2 linked regions of the Caenorhabditis elegans genome follow. The protein of the gene in region 2 purifies or fractionates together with the protein of the main gene of each other region. This does not show direct contact. Each region holds a gene or a part of one and is shown on either strand. Other genes may lie near its edges.

Region 1 (3,754 bases), on a different chromosome or scaffold from region 2:
TGCAAACGACAAGTTCGTCATGTTGATCTTCACTCTCTACAATCAGGATCCGTTGGAATCAACTTGCCTGCGCTGGAGAATTCTGCAAAAGACTCGGAGAGACGGAGGTAAATATTTGATTTCTTTGATTTGTTCCAGTTAAAATGCTAATTTTTTCAGACAAAAAGCATTGAAAGAGTTGAACGATCGATTGAACAAGACTCGAACAGCAGAAGTTGCCAGCTACGGAAACTGGGACGATGGTGACGATGATGAGCCGACTGAGGTTACTGTAGTTGCTCCGCCCCCTGTATCAAATGTACATTCTTCAAAACCAGCCATGGACAAAGAATCAATGGCATAAATAGATTTTTGGGTTCCTTTTTTATTAACATTCATTAATTATGTATTTCTTGGATCTCTAGTTTCGACTACTCTCGTTTATGTTTTCTTTCGCTTCATTTTGCTTCCTTGTTCTTCATGGGTGTTTTTCATTTATTGCCTTCTTCCCTCTCTGTGAGTAATTTTTGCATTTATTGTATTTTTCTCTGTGATAGTTTTTTGTTTGATGAATAAAATATTAGATTTAAAAAACTGTTTTTATAGTGATAAAAATAACAAAACAAAACAAATCAACAAAGTTATAGATGAAAACAAAATATTCAAAAACCTATGCCATCAGACGTCCCTTCTTTGCAGCCTTCTTCTTTGCAATGGCTTTCTTCGCTGACTTCTTCAAGGCACGACGATCATTTTGCTCAGTTGTTCTGAAAAGAAAAACAAAATTATCCGGTGACCAACGGAGTGCTAGTTCAATTAAATTACACGCACACGGAGGGCCCACGCTCATATAGCACTACAAGTACCGCAGACGGTAAAGTTCCGAAAGCAGGTTGCAGTCGTGCAAGCAGTGGGGGTCGAACTCGTGGGCGCCGACCTCGAGTACAAACGCACACCCAACTGCGCTACGCTGAACGATTTAAATAGAGAAGAACCGGGCAATGACATTGCGCGCGCGGGCCCTTTGACAAAATGCCACATATTTACAAACCTTTCTTTTTTGGTGGAGAACTTGAACTTGTGCAATTTTCCAGTAATTTCATTCTGGTTCTTCTTTCCGTGAGATGTTCGCTTTTTAGCAGTTTGGATCTTCTGAAAAACAAATTATAAATTGAAGAACTATTCGAAGAAAAAAAACAAACCGTCAAATGTCCCTTCTTCATAACTTTTGTAATGCGCAAGTCGCGTTTTTCCATTTTGATAGTCTCCATGCTCAATGCAAGACTCACAGAAGAATCTTGTTTGAAATTGACAAACGCGAATCCTTTTCCCTTTCCAGTATCTTTATCTCTGACAATTCTGACAGCCTCGACAGGTCCGATTTGTGCAGAGAAAAAAGTAATGAGAGCATCTTCGGTAATCTCGAACGGCAAGTTTCCAACAAAAATGGCCATATCCTTTCCAAATTCTTTCTTCTTACTTCCAACTTTGTCAACACGAATCACATGATCGTCCAGCTTGGTTCCATTGTACTTCAGAGCTTTCTCCACTGATTCTTCTGCTCCGAATTTCACATAGAACGTGAGAGAACTCTGTTTGTCATTCAATTTTCCTGTCAAATGAGTGACTCGTTTCGTCAATTTCTCATTCGCAGGAAGCAGATTTCTCATACGGACAGAGGAAATAGTTCCAAAGTCGGAGAAAATTCGACGGACTGATTTCTCGTTCATTGTCAATGGCATATTTCCAACAAAAACAGTCAGAGCATTTTCAGCAGCTGAAGCACGTGCATTTGACTTTTGAAGAGTTCTATTCTCTCTTTGCTTCGTTCTGTCTCGCTTTCCTTCCTTATTTTCATCTTTTTTCTCTTCTCCTTCTGTTTCAGGTGCAACTTCTTCAGCAGCAGCAGCAGCATCAGCTGCCTTCTCTTCTTCAGCCTTTTTTTTTGGATCATACTTTCTTCTTTTAGGTTTTTCAATTACTTTATCTCCCTTCACAACTTCCTCTTGTACTGCTGCTCCTTCTGACGACTTTCCGAAGAGACTTGATAATCCACCAGCCTGATAATTATCAGGTTCAGAGACTGGAAGACTTGGTTTCTGCTTCTTGATTTTCTTCGGAGCTTCTGCAACGGCTTCTGCGTCAGCGGACACTGCTTCAGCTTTTCTTTTGACAACCTTCTTCGCCATCTGAAACTGATTTTTTAAACTATGAAAACTATAATTTTAATTGAATAGACATTGTAGACGGATCAGTCAACCTATACTTGATTTAAATAAAATATCATCATTAAAAAAAAGGAAAATAATTTATTGTTAGATCATCGAAAAACACGAAAAAATTGTTTTGAATTTTGAAATCAAAAAGATAAAAACATAGAGTATCAATAGTACGGCTGATCATCGAGTCGTTCCAATTTGAATGCGACTTGTAAGAAGAATTGCTTCGTGTCTTTGTTCCACATCGTCCAAAATTTTTCAGATTTGTCAACTTCTCTGGAAAAAATTACTTGGTATATACAATTTTTTTAATCGTAACTATGAGATAGAAAAGTGCTAAAATGTTGTAAAGCCTCACCTTGATGGAATTTTGAATCCAATCGTTTCATACGGCTCAGCAGCAAACAAGAGGTATTGCCATCTCTTGTCTGGAGGCTGAATCTTTTGCTCATAAGCAGACATAAATCGATGACGTGGCGCAATACCGTCAGCAATCTCCGGATAATCAATTTGGAAGAGAAGTGCTTGCTGGCCAGCTCCTGGATCACGTTCTTTTGTTACCTTGTATCCAGGACGTCCGATTTTCACAAACTTTTTAGTTTCAACTGCAGCTTTCTGTGGAGCTGGTAGAAATGGTTGTTCAGATTGTTCTTTAGCGGCACGCCGTGCAAGATTCGCTTGATGCTTCTTTCCTTGTGTATGTGCCAAATAAGATCCTTCATTGTTGTGAAGAGTAAGACACAGCTTGCATTCGTACGTTCCAATGTGATTTCGCATGAAATACGGATCCTTTTGAAGATCAATTGTCTCTAGAGCCAACTGGCGGAGCCGTTCCCGTCGATCAACACCAGCATCGGCGGCCGAAGCCACTCCTCCGCTTCCCGTTTTTCCTCCAGCTCTGTTCTGAAAGTCCATCTGAAAGAAAAAGTTTAGATGATTGAATATATTATAAATTTAAAATAAAATCGAAAATATATAAATATCCGAAGTTAAACGGATCATTAAAACAAAAATAGGTATTAGCATTAAACATCGAATGATTCACAATTTACTCATTTTCGAAAGACCAGGTTAAAGATAATGGAAAAGATTAATGAAATAATAGAAGGGCACGTGAATACACCCGAGAGGCAGGCAATGCTCACTCGAATAAATTGGAGGGGAATTAATTATGGTAGAGATTTAATTTGAATAAAAATGGACAAAGAAAAATAGGTGAGTATCACGGTAGCCGCACTTATTTTGAAAGTTTTCTTTCGCACAAAGGGGTTTTTGACAAGAGGAAAACTGGTGGAAATTATGATAAAACGGATTTCAGTTTGAAATTATAAAATCGATAAACGGAGGTAGATTGGAAGAGGAGGATGGGACATCATTTAGTGTCCATTGGCAAGATTTCCATTCGATTTGTTGAGGGTTCCATTAACAATTGTATTGTTCGAATCGTCAGCTGTTTGCCATTCACGTACAATTTGGGTAAGTTGGGCTGGTAGATTTTCGCGGTTCCATTCGTCCCTGAATAATATTTAATTGTTAAAAATAAATATTGTTTATTT
Region 2 (3,754 bases):
ACAATGTGATCTAAAATTGGGAACACATTATTCCTGGAGAAGAAGAGGTATTATCCTTGTTGCCATTGTAAATAAAGATCAGTCATTGACTGGTAAGACTTATATTGGAATTATATCTATCTAAAGTCAAAATTTTCAGTTTCGATGTTCGCCACGTTCTCAGAGTTCGAGTCTAATTTGGTTGGTCCCGTAGAATCTGTTTTGTTTTTTAAGAACAATTTTTATGAAATCTTCAAGATTCTTGGAGAGTGAGTGGCTTCATTTTTCCTTGTTGTTTTCGAACGAATATTATTCTAGAGATCACATCAGAAACACAATTGCCAGAAACAAACCGCAGGCAATTATAAGTGTTCAATGCTCACAGCACGTCTTCTTCGACAAATTGGTATTGATGGGCGATGCAGCACATGCAATGGTTCCATTCAATGGTCAAGGTGTCAATTGTGGATTTGAGGATTGCCTTGTGTTGCAGGAAATTATGGATCAATATGAGGAAGATGAATTGGAAGATGTTATCAAAGAGTATTCAAAAGTTAGAACAAATGAGACGAATATCATTAATCAAATGGAATGGGATGTCAATTTAACGGTTAGATTTCTACATTTTATATTTCTTCGGGTGCTCATCTTGTAAGTAAGATTCTTGATTCTATATTGATAAGTGTCAAAATTCTACGAAAACATAAATACACAGTTCTGAAACATAATACTTTTACTATAGCGAGATTTCATGTTACTTGATAATTTTTGTTACAGCTCACGAGTTCCGTCCATGGCAGCCTGGGATGGATTCGAGAAATACGTGCACACATAAAACTATTGTTATGCTTCATTTTCCCATCATCGTTCACATTGGCAGCCTTCTCTCGGGAGAAATACTCTGAAATTGCCAGAAAAGCACAGATCGTCGAGAAGTGCACATCCTTATTCACAAACGTTTTCATTGTTTTCATAATTTCTGTCATTAGCCTCTTTTGGTATTGTGTGTTGGCAGTTTTATGGGCGAATTGACACCAAGATATACTCTACAGTACTCGGATACTGTAGAGGAAATCTTCAAGCATACTGTCTGCAATGTGCCGTCGTTTCTGGTGTTTGCGTCCAAGAAGTCTCGTGATTTAAAAACAAGTACCGATATTTTAAAAACGATTTTCTTTGCTGAATAAATATATTTATAAATACTGTTTTTCAGACATTTATTGAATTAAAATCCGTTTTTTCCTTAAATTTATGAAATTCCCCAATACGAACTATGTATTCTCTCGTTGCTCACTATGAAACCCACTTGAATGTTCCACCTTGCCCACCGAAATCGATTTTTTTTTTAATTTTTTTTACATCAGTGCAAACATTAACAGCTGTCTAGTGCACACTCAGACCGGTCGGTTCTGCTGCTATGCAGTAATATCTGTTTGCTCACCGATCATCAGTTTTATTATTTTCAAAAAAGAAACAGCATTTAAAACGGGAATTTGTTTTTTTCAACGTATAGGCCAAACACTGAATAATTTGGTTTTGTTATAATTGCTCTTCTACGCTGTGAGTCATCAATCGATAACCGCTCCGCAACCGCAATTGCCGTTCGTACTCTGCCACGCGACTTTCCCATCTGCTCTTCTTCTCTCACTCTCTTTCCCCCTCACTCTCTCTCTCACATTTTCGTTCATTCTATTCACCATCTTGTTACACTCATATCGTCTTATATTTTTCATTGTCTGTTCTTTTCTTTCTAAAAACAGTTTATTTTCAGTTTTATCCGCATTCTTCATATCGTTCATCGAAATGGCTGAAAAAATCAACATGTCTCTGGATGAAATCATCAAGCATGGCCAGAAAAAAGTGAAGTCCGAGCGAGTATCTGCACCAGCAGGAGCATCTACTAGCAACAAAGCTGGAAACAAACCCGTGAGTTTTAAAATAAAATAAGCAACTTTTAAGAATAAATAATTTTTATAGACTCGCCCAGGAAATGCCGGAAGAAACAACCGCAGAGTCCCACCAAGAAAGAGTGCTCAAGTTGTTTTGGCGAACAAGGTTTTGAAGAAATCGAAAGCAATTGCTGCTCGTCGTGCAGCTGGAGGTCAAAAACGCGTTTTCGGTGCCCGTGGAAAACCTGCTGCGGCTGCAGGATTGAGCGCTGTTGCCACCAAGAAGCTGGTTAATAAGCTCGTCAAGGTAAATCTTGTTTATATAATTCATTCTAATAAACCATCACATTACAGAATGCCCTTCGCAAAAGAACCAATATCACGACTGTTCCAGTCGTTCGTAAGCGTGGAGTACGTTTTTACCAGATTTTGTTCTATAGTTGAATATCGAGCTTTGAAAAATGGATTCTTGAAGTGAAATCTGGATACCACACGCATTAAGCGTTGTAGTAAAAGGCTAAAAATCAGGTCGAGAGTTTGATTTATTCCTCTCGTGTCGCGATAGAACCTAGACGTTCTTCGTGTTTTTTGAAACCGCGATGAATAGTTGGAAATACGATCATCCACTATTGAAAACCTGATAGAAAGCCAGGCTTCTGCCAAAAAATCAGAACAGATGGTCTCAATTTGTGTGAAGTTCCTTCCGGAGAGACAGACAGCAACTTCTCCTCAGCTTCTTCAGCGTGTCGAGAGTTCTTCCAATCTTTCACGGAGGTAAGGTAAATGATTTCAGGGTGTTGCTGCTTCAACTCTTGCCGCCAGACGAAATTTTGCATTGAAACGAAATGTCACTGCTGCCCAAGTGATTCAACCTGTGAGAACAATCATCCAACAGAGACCAATAACGGCTCCTGTTCGTACTATCGTACAGCATGTTCGTCAAGCTCCAGTCAAAGTTGTTCGCCAAATCATCACTGCTCCTGTGCAATCTCAAGTGATTCGTAGAGCACCGCAACAACAAGTTCGTCAGAACCGTCCACAGCAGAGACGCAATGTGATTATTCAATCACAGCAATCGAGAAGATTCCGTCCAACAAACAACAACAATAATAATCGTCCAACAGTCATTCGTCGTCAAGTCGTTCAACAAGTTCCAAGACGCGCTCAAGTTCAAAGACCACAGGTAAAAATTCATTATTATTCAGTATCCAGTGTCAGAATTATATTGTTCGTTTTCAGTATGAGCAGGTCGTGCAAAGAGTAATCCAGACTCCAGTGGCTCAGCAACGTTTCCAACGCCAGCCACAACGCTTCCAGCAACAGCAACCTCGTTTCCAGCAACAACCCCCGCGCTTCCAGAGACAGCAGCAGCCACAACAACAGCAAGTTGTGAGAAGCGTCAGATATGTGAATGCAAGACCACCTGTTCAGAGAAACAATGTTGTTCGTCAAGTGAGTATTCAAACTTTTATTTGCTAGAATTGAATTAAAGATTATGATTGAGTTTTACAATACTAGCCACCAATTGGATTAATATTATGAAACATAAATCTTAGGAATCTGTGGTGACCAATATATTGGTTTTTCAGGTTCAGCCAGTTCAATATCGTCCAGTCCAATACGTCACTGATCAGGTTGTCAACTCTCGTGGTCGTGGATTCCGTGCCTTCTAATTTCATCAACTCGTACACAATCAAGGATACTCAGAAGCTGCGTAGTTGTCTACACACCTTGCTTCATTTTATAAATTTATAATTCCTTCTTCCATAAACACCATGTTTAATAAAATACTCCGCCATACTCATTCTATTCACATCCAACAATAAACATGTTGCGTGTCTATCGAAATTAGTTACTTCTCTTATGTCTACAATAAGTTCAGTTGG

The links. The genes of interacting proteins can lie anywhere in the genome.
Region 1: the proteins of pqn-53 (region 2) and rbm-34 fractionate together in Caenorhabditis elegans (co-fractionation; one large-scale study listed by BioGRID). This does not show direct contact.

What each region holds. Positions count from the first base shown.
Region 1 is NC_003282.8:12,083,837-12,087,590, reverse strand, and holds rbm-34 (RRM domain-containing protein), read right to left. Parts: upstream 2,172-3,754; 5' UTR 2,169-2,171; coding exon 1,182-2,168; intron 1,132-1,181; coding exon 1,031-1,131; intron 883-1,030; exon of another isoform or gene 763-882; intron 747-762; coding exon 650-746; 3' UTR 568-649; downstream 1-567. Other genes in the region: F11A10.6 (Transmembrane protein 115), read left to right, coding at 1-107, 160-343; repo-1 (Splicing factor 3A subunit 2), read right to left, coding at 2,363-2,474, 2,557-3,113; lex-1 (Tat-binding homolog 7), read right to left, coding at 3,575-3,713.
Region 2 is NC_003283.11:12,063,388-12,067,141, reverse strand, and holds pqn-53 (Prion-like-(Q/N-rich)-domain-bearing protein), read left to right. Parts: upstream 1-1,750; 5' UTR 1,751-1,782; coding exon 1,783-1,905; intron 1,906-1,956; coding exon 1,957-2,175; intron 2,176-2,222; coding exon 2,223-2,279; exon of another isoform or gene 2,280-2,661; coding exon 2,662-3,051; intron 3,052-3,107; coding exon 3,108-3,320; intron 3,321-3,457; coding exon 3,458-3,541; 3' UTR 3,542-3,710; downstream 3,711-3,754. Other genes in the region: kmo-2 (FAD-binding domain-containing protein), read left to right, coding at 1-92, 140-248, 298-589, 757-1,011.